4 linked regions of the Macaca fascicularis genome follow. The protein of the gene in region 1 purifies or fractionates together with the protein of each later gene. This does not show direct contact. Links are inferred from orthologs where the notes say so. Each region holds a gene or a part of one and is shown in the gene's direction. Other genes may lie near its edges. The genes, in order: INTS11, PPP2CA, INTS6 and PPP2R1A.

Evidence for each region.
Region 2: the proteins of INTS11 (region 1) and PPP2CA purify together in Homo sapiens (affinity purification with mass spectrometry; 4 studies listed by BioGRID and IntAct, with this or other methods). This does not show direct contact. The link is inferred for Macaca fascicularis from reciprocal best matches to the Homo sapiens genes INTS11 and PPP2CA.
Region 3: the proteins of INTS11 (region 1) and INTS6 purify together in Homo sapiens (affinity purification with mass spectrometry; 3 studies listed by BioGRID, with this or other methods). This does not show direct contact. The link is inferred for Macaca fascicularis from reciprocal best matches to the Homo sapiens genes INTS11 and INTS6.
Region 4: the proteins of INTS11 (region 1) and PPP2R1A purify together in Homo sapiens (affinity purification with mass spectrometry; 3 studies listed by BioGRID and IntAct, with this or other methods). This does not show direct contact. The link is inferred for Macaca fascicularis from reciprocal best matches to the Homo sapiens genes INTS11 and PPP2R1A.

What each region holds. Positions count from the first base shown.
Region 1 is NC_088375.1:233,455,046-233,459,241, forward strand, and holds the start of INTS11 (integrator complex subunit 11), read left to right. Parts: upstream 1-1,385; 5' UTR 1,386-1,437; coding exon 1,438-1,465; intron 1,466-4,196.
Region 2 is NC_088380.1:140,719,153-140,722,143, reverse strand, and holds the end of PPP2CA (serine/threonine-protein phosphatase 2A catalytic subunit alpha isoform), read left to right. Parts: intron 1-38; coding exon 39-157; intron 158-1,717; coding exon 1,718-1,790; 3' UTR 1,791-2,467; downstream 2,468-2,991. UniProt on the Homo sapiens protein: Catalytic subunit of protein phosphatase 2A (PP2A), a serine/threonine phosphatase involved in the regulation of a wide variety of enzymes, signal transduction pathways, and cellular events.
Region 3 is NC_088391.1:30,616,933-30,620,960, reverse strand, and holds the start of INTS6 (integrator complex subunit 6), read left to right. Parts: upstream 1-1,210; 5' UTR 1,211-1,722; coding exon 1,723-1,833; exon of another isoform or gene 1,834-2,200; coding exon 2,201-2,278; intron 2,279-3,082; coding exon 3,083-3,232; intron 3,233-4,028. UniProt on the Homo sapiens protein: Component of the integrator complex, a multiprotein complex that terminates RNA polymerase II (Pol II) transcription in the promoter-proximal region of genes.
Region 4 is NC_088393.1:59,956,996-59,961,025, forward strand, and holds the start of PPP2R1A (serine/threonine-protein phosphatase 2A 65 kDa regulatory subunit A alpha isoform), read left to right. Parts: upstream 1-1,222; 5' UTR 1,223-1,272; coding exon 1,273-1,350; intron 1,351-4,030. UniProt on the Homo sapiens protein: The PR65 subunit of protein phosphatase 2A serves as a scaffolding molecule to coordinate the assembly of the catalytic subunit and a variable regulatory B subunit.

The sequences.
Region 1 (4,196 bases):
GGCACCCATGCTTTGTGTGTCACCAAGCACCCTTGCCCTGTCTCCCCGGGTGCCCCAAGGGCCCGCACCTGCTCCAGGGAACCTGAGACTCAGCTGCATCCCACCTCAACCAGGAAGAACCCTTACCCCATTGGGCCTGGGGGTTCCTAGGCCCGTTGGTGCTGGGAGCCCTCTCCTGCCCTCCCTGGCTGCAGGGACTCCAGCAGGGACAGGGAGGGTACCCAGCTGTGGTGAGAGCTCCTGGCCAGGAGCAGGTGTGCAGGTTGCTCAGCGCCCTAGGACTGGGCCCTTCATCACTAGGGAACATGGGCTACAAGCACTGCCCAGCCCGTGGCCCAGGCTGCTGGAGTGCTGGTGCCCGGAGGGAGCTGAAGCCTTGCCTTGCAAGCCCCACAGGTTGGGCTGCGTGCTTGGCACCAGGCGGAGGCCCCAGATGTGAGCTCACCGGGCTTCAGGTGTAGGGAATGGCTGCTCCTGGGCCTCAGGAAGATGGAGTCCCATAGACTTCTAGCACGCCCCTCCCCTCCTCAGGCCTTAATTTTGTCCACTGAGAAGATGGTCTCTGAGGCTCTGGGGTTTCCTTCTTGGTCACCAGATATTCTGCGGGCCTTGCCTGCCTGCCGGCCCAGATCCGAGCCAGTGGCAAACAGGAGCTGCCAGGAGCCTCTCAGAGCTGTGGCTGGTGGCTCCGGGACAACAGGAAGGGCAGTGGTTGTGCAGGAGGCAGGCAGCTCGCCAGCCCAGGAAGGTGACCCAGGGCACCTCCAGGCCTTTCCCAGGGCAGCCCACCGGCCCAAGGTCAGGGCTGGGCGCCAGGGCGGCCTGAACACACAGCCCGGTGGCTGACAGCAGGCTGGGGGGACGGCAGAAGACGGGGCCACCACGGCGCCCCAGGCCTTGTGGGTGGAACCAGACCGTGTCGAGCTAGCGCTACGAGTCTCACCTGGGAAGGGGGCTTCAGATGGCACCGGACTGGATGGTCACCGGTTCGGGTCCCTGCTCCACCTGGGAGCCCAGGAAAGGGTGGAGGCCCGGGGTGGTGCTGAGGAGGGGCCGACCTGAGCCACGGCTCCGTCCTGCGCGGGAGCCGGGTCCTCGGCCGCCCGCCCACTCCGGCCTTCTAGGACGACGTCCCCTCCCGCTCCCGGTCCCTCGGCGACCTCCGTACCCTGCCGGTTGGGTTGGGCAGGTGCGGCCGCCGAGCCGGAGCCGCTCACCTCGGCCACAGCTGCCGTCCGGGCCCCGCCCTCGCTCATCGCCCCGCCCTGTCCCGCTCTCGCCCGCCGCCCTGATTGGTTGGATGCTGTCCAATCAGGAGGCCAGGCGCGCAGACTCGCGTTTCCGGCTAACGCACCGGAAGTTGACACCCTGGTGGTTGCGCCTGCGCAGTGCATCACCGCGCGCGGGACTCGCGGCTCTGGGAACGCGGCGGAGACGATGCCTGAGATCAGAGTCACGCCCTTGGGTGAGTGGGAGCCGCCGGCAGGGCTGTGGGGCGGGCTCCGTATGCGGCTCCGGGCGGGCTGGGCGCCCCGCTCCCTCCGGGTTGTCATGGAGCCGGGTGCGCGTCGCGGGCGTCCTCGGTCTCCTCCTTCCCGCGTGGGCCCTGGTGGGAACCGAGAGGCGGCCGAGTCCCTGCACCCTCGGCCTCCGGCAGTGACGCGAGAACGCGAGCCCCGAGGTTCAGGCGGCCGTGAGGGGACGTCGCAGAGGGGGCTGCGGGGCCTCCGCGCTCGCTGTGCGCTTTCGTTGGTGCGTTGACCTCCCTGTGCGGCGCGCTGCCGCCTCCAGCCCCTCAGTCCCGCAGCCCCCCAGCCCCCCAGCCCCCCAGTCCCCCAGTCCCCCAGTCCTCCAGCTTCTCAGCCTAGCAGACCCCCAGCCTCTCAGCCGCCCAGCCCCCCAGTCTCGCTGTCCCGCTTCTGCCTCCTCACCTCTTGCTTTCTGTCCACCACTCCTTGTGCTCACGCCCAAATTACAATCAACTCTCAGTTCAGCTCTTGTTCTACCTGATTTCTGCAACACTGAAAAAACCAGCAAAAAACACAAATGTATACTCTTAAGAGTCCTAACAGGCTGGGCACTGTGGTTCACGCCTGCAATCCCAGTACGTTGGAAGGCAGAGGTGGGAGGATCGCTTGAGCCCAGGAGTTTAAGACCAGCCTCGCCAACATGGCAAGACCCCATCACTCAAAAAAAAAATGCAAAATTAGCCGGGCATGGTGGTGTGTGCTTGTGGTTCCAGCTACTCAGGAGGCTGAGTTGTGGGGATTGCTTGAGCCCGGGAGGTCGAGGCTGCAGTGAGCCATGATTGTGCCACTGCACTCCAGCCTGGGCGACAGCAAGACCATATGTCAAAAAAAGTCAAAGTCCTAACAGTATAGAACAATGCGAAGGAGGAAAGAATTAGTCAAAACCCAGGGTCTCAGAAACACCTGGGGGGACATGGTGCTGGTGGCCAACCATCCTGATGTCCTGGGCGTTTTCCACACGTGCCTGCCCTGTGCTGTCCTGGAACCTGGTCCTTCCACTGGGCAGGGGGTCGAGGGCATCTTCCAGCACAGACACTGGGATGAGATTACATGTCCTTCCTCATGGCATGAGCGCTTCCTTGGAGGGGTGCCTGCTGCCCCGGCGGGGATACTGTGCTGTGAACACCCCTGGCCTGTGCACAGCCCACGGTGTTAGGGTGGGCCCTGCTGCCCTCCCCTGCTCTCTGGGGCCTCTGCTGGGTCCTCCCAGACTGCCCCTTTCCCATTTGGCCTCTTGGCTGCCTGTTCTACCCACTCTCTGGACAGTCTGATCTTTCATGTGGCTTCAGTGGCTCCCAGTCTGTACCTGGGTGTATTCTTTTTTTTTTTTTTTTTTGAGACGGAGTCTCGCTCTGTCGCCCAGGCTGGAGTGCAGTGGCCGGATCTCAGCTCACTGCAAGCTCTGCCTCCCGGGTTCCCGCCATTCTCCTGCCTCAGCCTCCTGAGTAGCTGGGACTACAGGCGCCCGCCACCTCGCCCGGCTAGTTTTTTGTATTTTTTAGTAGAGATGGGGTTTCACCGTGTTAGCCAGGATGGTCTCTATCTCCTGACCTCGTGATCCGCCCGTCTCGGCCTCCCAAAGTGCTGGGATTACAGGCTTGAGCCTGGGTGTATTCTTAAGGTCACCTCAGCCAGGGTATCGGCAGAGCAGAACTGTTTCCCCACCTCCCTGTGCCAGGGACTGCCTTGGGCTCCGTGCTCACTGGGCCAGTGCTGTGTCCTTGGGGTCACTCCCACGCCCTCGCCTGTGCGTGACTGTCCCCCGACCCTGCCTGTCCCTCCCAACCCTGTTCCTCCCCCTTCCCCCATCCTGCTCAAAAGTTGGCTTCTCAGGGAGCACTTTCCTGTCATGGTTCTGGAAGTTTCAAGGCTTCCTCATCCTCTTACCTTGCTCTTCTGTCACAGTAGCCTCCATCTGGTGTACTCGAGGTGTCTTGTTCACTTGTCTGCTGTCTGTCTCCTTGCAGACAGGGATGCCTCCTCCTCTGTCTTCTCAGCCCTGTCCCCTCCTGTAGCTCCAGGCTCTATTCCCTGGGATCACTGTGGGTCCTGTTGGGAGGCGGGACTGCCAGTACCTCAGGATTGGGCTTTGGAATTCAGAAGACCAAGCCAGGCCGCACGCTTCAGGGCCACAAGTGCCTCTGTGGCCTTAGGTCCTTGGCTGTGAAGAGGGGCGGCCCTCCCTTCCCACAGATGCCAGAGGGCCTCTGTGAGCCTGGCATGGCTTGGGGTAGGAGGTGCAGAGGGAGGAGACAGCTGAGACCCTGCTCTCAGAGAGCTCACACCCAGTGGGGGCAGGAACAGGCCTAGAAGAGAACCTGAGACCCCCATTCGTGGCAGGCAGGCCCTCGGCTGTGGCCCCGCTATCCTGATGTGTGGTGCTGGCTTTGGACGTTTCAGGTGGCTGGTCGGGGAAGGTGGGTGGGGATTCAAGGGGAAAACCAGGCCATTCACGGCCATCAGACTCCCGCCCAGGCACAGGCTGTGCAGGGGCCATGGCCCTTTCCTTGTGGGCCTCCAGGTCACATGAGGGGGCTGAGTGTGCCTTGGCTGGCCAAGGCCTCTGGCTGGAGCAGCTGGGCAGGGCTGCTTGGCTGTCAGGAGTGTGGGAGGGCTGCAGATTAGGGTCTGTGTTGGGGGCTGCGTGGTGGGCAGTGGTGTGGGGCT
Region 2 (2,991 bases), on another chromosome or scaffold:
GGGAGTAAAGTAAGATTTTTGCCTCCTTTTCCTTGTAGGGATATAACTGGTGCCATGACCGAAATGTAGTAACAATTTTCAGTGCTCCAAACTATTGTTATCGTTGTGGTAACCAAGCTGCAATCATGGAACTTGACGATACTCTAAAATACTCTTTGTAAGTATTTCTACTTGAACATTTTATTGCATTACTGAATATGTAGGTTTTTGGTTTGTTTATTTATTTTGAGAGAGAGGGTGTCACTATATTGCCCAGTCTTACCTCAAACTCCTAGGCTGAAGTGATCCTTTCACCTTGGCCTCCCAGAGTGTTGGCGTTACAAGTATAAGATACAGTGCCGGCCAGGCACGGTGGCTCAGGCCTGGAATCCCAGCACTTTGGGAGGCCGAGGTGGGCAGATCACGAGGTCAGGAGATTGAGACCATCCTGGCTAACATGGTGAAACCCCGTCTCTGCTAAAAATACAAAAAATTAGCCAGGCGTGGTGGCGGGTGCCTGTAGTCCCAGCTACTCAGGAGGCTGAGGCGGGAGAATGGTGTGAACTTGCAGTGAGCCGAAATCGCACAACTGCACTCCAGCCTGGGCGACAGAGTGAGAGTCTGTCTCAAAAAAAAAAAAGATACAGTGCCCAGCCTGAATACATAGTTAAATGTGAGGTTTAAGAGTTTAAGGGGGCCAGGCACGGTGGCTCACGCCTGTAATCCTAGCACTTTGGGAGGCTCAGGTGGGTGGATCACCTGAGGTCAGGAATTCAAGATAAGCCTGACCAACATGGTGAAACCCCGTCTCTACTAAAAATACAAAAATTAGCCCAACGTGGTGGCACATGCCTGTAATCCTAGCTACTTGGGAGGCTGAGGCAGGAGAATCTCTTGAACCTGGGAGGCAGAGGTTGCAGTGAGCCAAGATACCGCAACTGTACTCCAGCCTGGGCAACAGAGCGAGACTTCATCTCAAAAAAGAGTTTATTAAGGGATTATACTATGTTAGATTCCAACTTTTATTTTTAAGTTTTTGAATGGACCTACATTGAAACACACCCACAGGAACTTATTATATATAGATCCTAGTATAAATTACTAGGTTTTTCACTTTTAAAACCATGTTTTGTGTTTTTTTGTTGTTTGTTTTTTCTTTTTCTTCCCCCCCCCCCCCCCCCCCCCCCCCCCCCCCGAGACGGAGTCTTGCTCTGTCCTCCAGGCTGGAGTGCAATGGCGCGATCTCAGCTCACTGCAAGCTCCGCCTCCCGAGTTCACGCCATTCTCCTGCCTCAGCTTCCCGAGTGGCTGGGACTACAGGTGCCCGCCACTGTGCCCGGCTAATTTTTTTGTATTTTTTTAGTAGAGATGGGGTTTCACCGTGTTAGCCAGGATGGTCTCGATCTCCTGACCTCATTATCCTCCCGCCTCGTCTTCCCAAAGTGCTGGGATTATAGGCGTGAGCCACCACGCCCCGCCAACCATGTTTTGTTTTGTTTGAAATTTCAGTCAAGGTAAAAACCATATTTTTATAAAAGCATAGTCTCTGTGGCTGAATTTGCCTTGACTCTTTCAAGGGGAGTACGGTTAACAGACCATTATCATTAGGGTTCTGTTACATTAAGACAAGCTGAAATTGGATAGGAAGTGTAAAGTTTGAAAGACTCATGTTCTTGATTTTGATTGTCAGTACATGGAGGTCTTGGAACATAAACCATGAATCTGTCTTGTTTTTCAGCTTGCAGTTTGACCCAGCACCTCGTAGAGGCGAGCCCCATGTTACTCGTCGCACCCCAGACTACTTCCTGTAATGAAATTTTAAACTTGTACAGTATTGCCATGAACCATATATCGACCTAATGGAAATGGGAAGAGCAACAGTAACTCCAAAGTGTCAGAAAATAGTTAACATTCAAAAAACTTGTTTTCACATGGACCAAAAGATGTGCCATATAAAAATACAAAGCCTCTTGTCATCAACAGCCGTGACCACTTTAGAATGAACCAGTTCATTGCATGCTGAAGCGACATTGTTGGTCAAGAAACCAGTTTCTGGCATAGCGCTATTTGTAGTTACTTTTGCTTTCTCTGAGAGACTGCAGATAATAAGATGTAAACATTAACACCTCGTGAATACAATTTAACTTCCATTTAGCTATAGCTTTACTCAGCATGACTGTAGATAAGGATAGCAGCAAACAATCATTGGAGCTTAATGAACATTTTTAAAAATAAGTACCAAGGCCTCCCTTCTACTTGTGAGTTTTGAAATCGTTCTTTTTATTTTCAGGGATACCGTTTAATTTAATTATATGATTTGTCTGCACTCAGTTTATTCCCTACTCAAATCTCAGCCCCATGTTGTTCTTTGTTATTGTCAGAACCTGGTGAGTTGTTTTGAACAGAACTGTTTTTTTCTCCCTTCCTGTAAGATGATGTGACTGCACAAGAGCACTGCAGTGTTTTTCATAATAAACTTGTGAACTAAGAACTGAGAAGGTCAAATTTTAATTGTATCAATGGGCAAGACTGGTGCTGTTTATTAAAAAAGTTAAATCAATTGAGTAAATTTTAGAATTTGTAGACTTGTAGATAAAATAAAAATCAAGGGCACTACATAACCTCTGGTAACTCCTTGACATTCTTCAGATTAACTTCAGGATTTATTTGTATTTCACATATTACAGTTTGTCACATTGTTGGTGTGCACTTTGTGGGTTCTTCCTGCATATTAATTTGTTTGTAAGAAAGGAAATCTGTGCTGCTTCAGTAAGACTTAATTGTAAAACCATATAACTTGAGATTTAAGTCTTTGGGTTTTGTTTTAATAAAACAGCATGTTTTCAGGTAGAGCTTAACAAACTAAATGATGTGTTTACTTAGTGCAGTTTCTGGTTATGAATATTATATTGCTATGTATATTATATGGACTCTTTAAAATGATTGACAGATTGGCAAATTCTTAAATCTTTGTACATTGTTGAGTCATATGTTCTTAGAGTTAAATTTGTC
Region 3 (4,028 bases), on another chromosome or scaffold:
AACTAATGTGTTTGAGAAAACTGTTTTCCTCGGACATACAGGCGTGGACTCCTTACTTCAGGTAAGGTGACAGCAGCTTGACAGAGAATGCCTTCCCTCCCACGGCATTTGGGACGAGACTGAAGGAAAGACACAGGCGGGGTTACGGGAAACCCATGCTCTGCGCCATCTGGACAAGCTGAAGTCAGTGTTTCCGCTTTCACACGAGGTAATGGATTATGATGGGCTCAGGTCCCCTTTAGCTCTGAAACAGGTATTCTATGGCTCTAGGTAAACACGGCATGAGACAGGTATTTCTCTGGTAGGATCAGTTGTATTTCCCAGAGAATAAAACGGGCAACAGACCATTTATCGATATGTGAATGGTCCCCTAGGCCCTATTTGGGGCTGGATAAAGAAAAAGAAGGTTTGCTTCCTTTTTGGCGGGTCCTCCAACGACAGAGTTCATGGCCCGCTGCGCGTCCAACTTCCACCTCTCGTCGCTCACCGGAGGACGAGCGAGGTTCTGGGCGAGGACAGCCCCTCAACCGCACTCCCCAGAGGGAGCGCTGTGACTCGCGGAGATTAGTCCCCGGTCATAAACAACCTCTCACTTCCCCTCCCCCGCGCCCGCCCGCGCCCGCCCGCGCCGGGGCGGCCCTACGAGGCCCAGGAACCTCCTCCAGCGCCCGCGAGGCCCCGAGTCCTCCTCGGAAGGGCGGCTGCGGACCTGTCCTCTTCTCCTAACCAGGTGTTTGTCCACTTTACTCAGCCCTTCTTACTCGTCCACAATACAGCCACCTCAGAGGGGGCGCTGACGCTAGCCCCTTTTTTCCTTCTGTCGACCCCAATCACCTCCAACAGCCAGAGGCCGGCGGCCCTGACGCGCAGGCTCACCGCCGCGGCCGGCGCGCGCGCGGACGCGTCCCCCGCCCCCACCTCGCGGATCTTCCGCGGTTCGGCCCCGCCCCTTCCCGAAGCCCGCCTCCGGGTCGGCCCGCCCGCCCGCTCGCGCGCACCCGACGCCCCGCCTCCGCGCGTGCTCAATAACTGTCCCCGGAGCCGGCCTGCAAGCTTCCCCCGCCCCTGAGCTGTTTAAATATGCTAATGAGAGGGCAGGGACTAGCCAATAGAACGGCGAGGCGATGTATCACGTGGCTCGGGGACGTGTCAGGGGCGGAGCCTCCGCAGCCCCTGCCCGAGTTAAAATCGGAGTGTGAGAGAGAAAAGCGCTTCAGTAGCGAGAGGGGCTGAGAAAGTGGTGACACTGCTGGGGTGCGGAGGGAGTCCCTGAAACTTCTCCCAACAGCCCCAGGGCCAATCTCCCCTCAGCCCACTCCCCTCTTAGCCAGCTCCCAGGTCCCCACTCCCTGTACCGGGGGTGGGGTGGGGAGCCAGGCCCGTCTCCCGCTGGGACACACACAGGGGCCGGGAGCGGGGACGGGACCCCCGAGGCGGGGGGGACGGACCGACAGACAGACGGCTGGGCGCCCGCCCCAGCGGGCAGGCAGGCAGGAGGAGGCGGAGGCGGGGGTACGACGGGGAGGACTGGGTCTGGGGAGTTTCCTCTCAACTATCGGGGGAGAAACTCCCCGCAGCCGGAGGAAAGACCCAGACGGTGTTTTCCTCCCGGGGGCCGCGCACCCCCGCCCCGCGTAGCGGCGGTCGCCGCCACCGGCGCCTCCACCTCTACCATCTCCTCTTTCTCCACCACCTCGGGCCCCGGTGTCCCTGGCCAGCACTATGCCCATCTTACTGTTCCTGATAGACACGTCTGCCTCTATGAACCAGCGCAGCCATCTGGGCACCACCTACCTGGACACGGCCAAAGGCGCGGTAGAGACCTTCATGAAGGTACCGACTGACCGAGTCCGGGCGGCGACCCCGGCCCGGCGGCCCGCGGGAGGCAGGGTGGGGGAGGGCAGCCAGGGCGGGGGTGTCGGGGACCTGACTGCGGGAGCTGCCGGGCTCGGGGACCCCCTCCCCCACCGCGCGGGCGGGCGGGCGGGCGGGCGCTGCGAGCCGGGCTCGGCCGGGGCCCGGATTCCGGCCCCGGGCGGTGTGTGGGGAGCGATCTGTATGTTGGGGGCGGCGTGGAGGGGTGGCCGCTGCGTGTGCGGTACTGTGGGGGCGGCGGGGCAGCTGGGCGCCCCTTCTCCGCCTCGTAACCTCGCCTCTGTGCTTCCCTCTCGCCCGCCCTGTTCCTCTTCCCGTCCCGCAGCTCCGTGCCCGGGACCCTGCCAGCAGAGGAGACAGGTATATGCTGGTCACTTTCGAAGAGCCGCCCTATGCTATCAAGGTAACAGCCCTCGCCCTCCCCCTTTCCTCTCTTCCCTTCCCTGTTCCTTCCTCGCTCGCCCTCCCCGCCCCCCCATTCACCCTTCATTATGCTCCCCTCCCCCACCCGCTGCGCTCCCAGCCGCTGAGGTCTCTTCCCTGCGGGCTCCCACCCCCTCCCCCGCTCGGCAGCGTCCTAGCGCGGCGCGGAGTCGCGGGGCCACCGCCGTCCCCTCCCGGCCCGGCTCGGCCCGGCGGCTGCGGCGGCGGCGGCGGCGCTGCGATCAACATGGCCGACATTTCCCCTCCGCGGCGTGAGCGGCAGCAATGAACTGTGGGGGATATTTATTCAAGTTAGCCGGAGTGACAGCCGGGCCCGGCCGCGCACAGCCCCGGTTTGCATTAAAGGGGAATCGGTCCGGCCGGCACGGGAGCCAAATACGGGGCTGCCAGGATTGGTCTTGTCAAATTCGTCCTAAGAGGGCCGGTGGGACAGCTGCAGGTTAACTTCCTAAGTCTGGCTCCCGTCTGCTTCCACTAGTACGTTCACATATCCACATTTTGGGTATTAGATTAGGTAGTAAATTTGTCAGTGAAGTTATAAAGTATTAAGGTTGTTAACTACCAAAACCTAGAGAGGAAGCAGGTTTATTCCTGGACCACCTTTGGAGGAGAGTTTCCTCAGCAGTGGTACAGTATTAACACGTTAACCAAGCCAAACCAACCAAAAGTGAAGCTGCTACTTGGTGACTGTCAGATTATAACGGCTGTGTGTACATGGCTTTAAAAAATGAAAAAAAAAAAAATCTTACATTTTTCTTTTCAGGCTGGATGGAAAGAAAACCATGCAACGTTTATGAATGAACTGAAAAACCTTCAGGCTGAAGGACTTACGACTCTTGGCCAATCCCTAAGGACAGCTTTTGATTTATTAAATTTAAATAGATTAGTAACTGGCATAGACAACTATGGGCAGGTAGGTTGAATAATAAGGTGGCAAAATAGTTGATTTTTCATTTTGTGGAAAAACAGTCCAATCCAAAAACTACATAACATGAAATGCACGTATAAAACATTCCAGATTAAAATAGAATATGCACATTGTTCAAAGGCAAAACTCTTACCCTACTATATATATTTTATGTCCCTCATTTTTTCCCCTTTTAAAATACATTTGTATTCAGGATTAGAATCTGAATCTTTTGCTAAAAATTTGACATACATTGATTTTAATCCCTTGAAAGTTCACTAAAGACCTAAAAGGGAAAGCGTCCTATCTCACCACACTCAAGTTGTGTGTGCAACTATTGTAGTGACTTACAGACACTAGTTAGTGGTCTTCATTTCTATATTAGTAAAGATGTTAGAGGAAATTAATCTGTTTGTTGCATCAGGGTTTAATGTGATCATGCTGTATAACTATTCTGAAAGGTAAGAAGATTTTCACTGGAATACAGTCACTGGCTGAGAACATTAAGTTTTCTCCTTTTGAAGCATACACAGTTAACTATTGCAGGAAGAATTCTGAATTAAATTTCAGGCCTAGAGTTTTAATTTAAACTCCAAACCCTTTGCAAAAAAGACTGCTGGAAAATATGAAAGAACCCTTCGTTTCTTAACCCCCACAGGTCCTTTTATTTCACTTACTTTCATCTATTTGAGGGTGAGAGGAGCTTTAAATCAACAATTCACTAAGGAAGAATGCAAGGTGGTCTATTGTAACATTTTATGATATCTTTGCCCTGGAAATAAGAGATACTGAACAACATATA
Region 4 (4,030 bases), on another chromosome or scaffold:
TCCCTCAGAGTGGTCCTAAGATTGCGGTGGGGGTGGGGCTTTGTTGAAGAGGTTAAAAACAGAGATTAGTCAGATCCAATCCTGCTCCCACTCTATGGAGGAAACAGATTCGAATGCATAGTCACAGCCCAGGCTCTGGGATTGAGACACATAGATGGGATTGGAGAGACAGAGAGAGAGGTTCTGGTGGCTCTGGAAGCCTAGAGAACAAGAGCATTTACGCAGAGATCTGAGAAGTGAATAAGAAAGGCAGAACGTACAGCTTGGGCAAGGAGCCTTGCTGGCACGAAAACGCAAGATGTGCTCAGGCAGCTCTGATTTTCCAGGACATCAGACAAAAGGTAAAAAACGGAGGCGGGAGACGCGCCTAGACAAGGTATTGAATACCGGCCCGAGGAACTTGGGTTTCATCCAAAGAGCAAGGCAACTGAGCTCAACACAGTGACTCCGTCTCCACAAAAATTCTTTAAAAAACTGGCCGGGCCTAGCGGCGCGAGCCTATAATCCCAGCTATTTCTGCAGACTGAGGCCTGAGGATCGTTTGAGCCCGGGGAGGTCCAGGCGGCAGTGAGCCAAGATCGCGCCACTGCACTCCAGCATGGGGAACAGAGCGAGACCCTGTCTTTAAAAAGGCAAAAAAAAAAAAGAAAGAAAAAGAAAAAGAGAGACAGCAGGGCAAGCCGCTCCCTTCTCTGGGCCTTGGCATAAATCAAACACAAATAAAAGTCTCACTCCCTCCTCCGGCCGCGCAAAGGCGCGGGGAGCCAGCCTGCCAGCCAGCGGAACCATGGCCTGGTAACCCAAAACCTGCACACCCTCCCGCTCCCCACATGACGTCACGTATTACCACTTACGCACGCGCAGAAACCATCCCCGGGACCCACCAAAGGTCAGGCTTAGCGTCCTCCCCATATCGCCCCTCATTGGCTAGAAACAACTGCTCGTCCCGGTCGTTGTTAGCAGCGACGAAGGCGGGTTCAATCTTGGTCGCTAGGACACGGCTGACTTCCGCTTTTCTTCCCCCTCCCCTAGGCTCAAACTAGTCAAATCTCGTTCACTCGACCAATGGCAAATGGGAAGTGGGCGGGACTTCACTAGTCCGGACCAAAGAAACGCGGGTTTAGGCCGGCGTAGCGCGGCCAATGGCCGTGGAGCAGCCCCTGTAAACTGGTTCGGGCGCCCCCACGCGTGCTTTTCCTCCTCCTCCCAGCTCTGCCCCCCCGTTTCAGCAGAGCGCTGGCCGCAGTCTGACAGGAACGGGACAGAGCCAAGATGGCGGCGGCCGACGGCGACGACTCGCTGTACCCCATCGCGGTGCTCATAGACGAACTCCGCAACGAGGACGTTCAGGTACGGAGGCTACGGGGGACTTGGGGAAGACGGGGAGGGGTACCTGGGGGCATGGGCAGCCCTCGCGGAGAAGACTCAGCGTTCGCTGGGAGTGGCGGAAGGGGCGGCGGCCAATCAACGTGCGTCTCTTATCTCCCCGGGTGCCCGGACTCATTGAGACGGCGCCCTCGATTGGGTGTTGGCCCAGTGAAGGGCGGGGGCCTGCGCTAGCCTCGAGGGTCCCGGGCCTGCTCAGTGCGCGCGGCGGTCCGCGGTCCGCGATCCGCGGTCCTGGGAGGTTGCGGCCAGGGCTGGGGTCGGCGGACTGGGTCCGGGAGAGAGGAGGGCTCCGTGATTGGCGGCGGCCTCTGAATGGCCCCTTGGAGATGTGGGGCGCTCGTGACTTGCTCCGAGTGGGGGAGAGCCGCCTGATGGGTCAGGACCTGGGAAGGTTTTTTTCTTTTCTGGGTTTCGACTGCTGGCCCAAGTGGGGACCGAGAGGCGAAGGCCTGCCATCCCAATTCCTGCTCTTTCTCCACGTCTCATTTTGGTTTAGGTGTCCTGAGAGGACGGGGACGCAAAAACACCCCCCCCCCCCCACCAAAGGTGGGGACTAGCCAAATTGAAGAACGAATTACGTTGTAGAAACCCGCTTCCCCATCTCCCCAGATCCTCCCATTGATCAGGATAGGGGGTGAAGGATTTGCTAAGTGGATGAACATTTCATTCTTTCTTTCTTTGAGACAGCCCCTGTGTCGCCCAGGCTGGGGTGCAGTGGCGCGATCTTGGCTCAGTGCAACCTCTGCGTCCCGGGTTCAAACGATCCTCGCACCTCAGCCCCCTAAGTAGCTCAGATTACCGGCGCGAGCCACCACGCCCATCTAATTTTTGTGTTTTTAGTAGAGACGGGTTTCGCCACGTTGGCCAGGCTTGGTCTGGAACTCCTGACCTCAAGCGATCCACCCGCCTCGGCCTCCCAAAGTGTTGGAATTACAGGCGTGAGCCACGGCGCCCAGCCCGGATGAACATTCCTGGTTATGGGATGCGGTGGCCCAAGGCTCTGAGCAGGGCTGCCACCCGCTGTGTGACCTTGTGCAAATTACTTCACCGCTTTGGGCCTCCGTGTTCCATAAAATATGGGCTAATTGTAGTCCTGGTCTTGCTGGAGGGACTTGTGAGGGACTGAACGAATTATGGCACAAATAAAAAGTCGAATGGTGTCAGACCTGTTGTAAGGGCCTGATACATATTAACTGTGATTATTGGGAGTGGTGATTAAAGAGGTCCCATCCTCCCTTTAGGTCTCAGTTTTCGCATTTATAAAATTGAACAAGGTGCACTGGGTAACCTGCCAAACGTGGGTCCCGCCTCCTAGGTTCCTGGTATATCACTGTTTCTGGGGGCAGACCGGCTGTGGTTGTATTCCTGGCCCTTCCACTTCTCACTGATTGACATGCGCAAGTTAGTTAATCTCTCTAAGCCTATTTCCTCTTCTCTTTTATGGGGATAATTACCTAGTTCGTAGGGCGGTTGTATGAATTCTTTTGTTCAGTAAACACGTGCCATGTATCAGGTATGATGCTGGGGATATAGTGGAGACACCAGTTGCTATACAGGATTCAGGTGTGAAACAGGTCAACAGAGTGTGTGAAAAGTGATGGGAAGGAAACAAACAGGATGTTGTGGCAGTGAATCCATATTGAATTGGCCTTCTATTCTGTGCAGGTCACTGTTATAAGCACTGGCATGCAGTAGGGGAGTTTACTTTGCAGTGAGGAGAGATAATAAACAGAGTATACTGGAGATAAGCAGTAGGGAGATAAATAAAAATAAGAGAGATGGGGGATGCAGGGGTTTTTTTTGTTTGTTTTTGAGACGGAGTTTCACTCCTGTTGCCCAGACTGGAGTGCAGTGGCGTGATCTTGTCTCACTGCAACCTCTGCCTCCCGGGTTCAAACGATTCTCCTGCCTCGGCCTCCCAAGTAGCTGGGATTACAGGCATGTGCCACCACTCCCAACTAATTTTGTATTTTTAGTAGAGATGGGGTTTCTCCGTGTTGGTCAGGCTGGTCTCAAATTCCCGACCTCAGGTAATCCACCCACCTTGACCTCCCAAAGTGCTGGGATTACAGGCATGTAATCCCACTGTGCCCGGCCTGGGGGATGCAGTTTTAAAGTGTGGTGAGGGGAGGCCTTGTTGAGATCAAGTTTGAGAACACACCTAAAGGCAGAGGGCACAGCAAGTACAAAGTGGGGTGGGGCAGATCCATTTTAAGTAGGCCAATCAGGCAAGGCCCCTCTGAGGATGCAGAATTTAAGAAGAGATGGAAAGAAGGTGGGAAAGAGCTGCCCAGGAAGAGGGAACAGATATGGCCATAGTTTTTTGTTGTTGTTGTTTTGTTTTGTTTTTTGAGATGGAGTCTCACTCTGTTGCCCAGGCTGGAGTGCACTGACGTGATCTCGGCTCACTGCAACCTCTGTCTCCCGGGTTCAAGCAATTCTCCCACCTCAGTCTCCTGAGTAGCTGGGACTACAGGCGCAGGCCACCACCCCTGGCTAATTTTTGGGTGTGTGTTTTTAGAAGAGACTGGGTTTCCCCGTGTTGGCCAGGCTGGTCTCAGACTCCTGATCTCAGGTGATCCTCCTGCCTCAGCCTCCCACAGTGCTGGAATTACAGGTGTGAGCCACTGTGCCCAGCCAG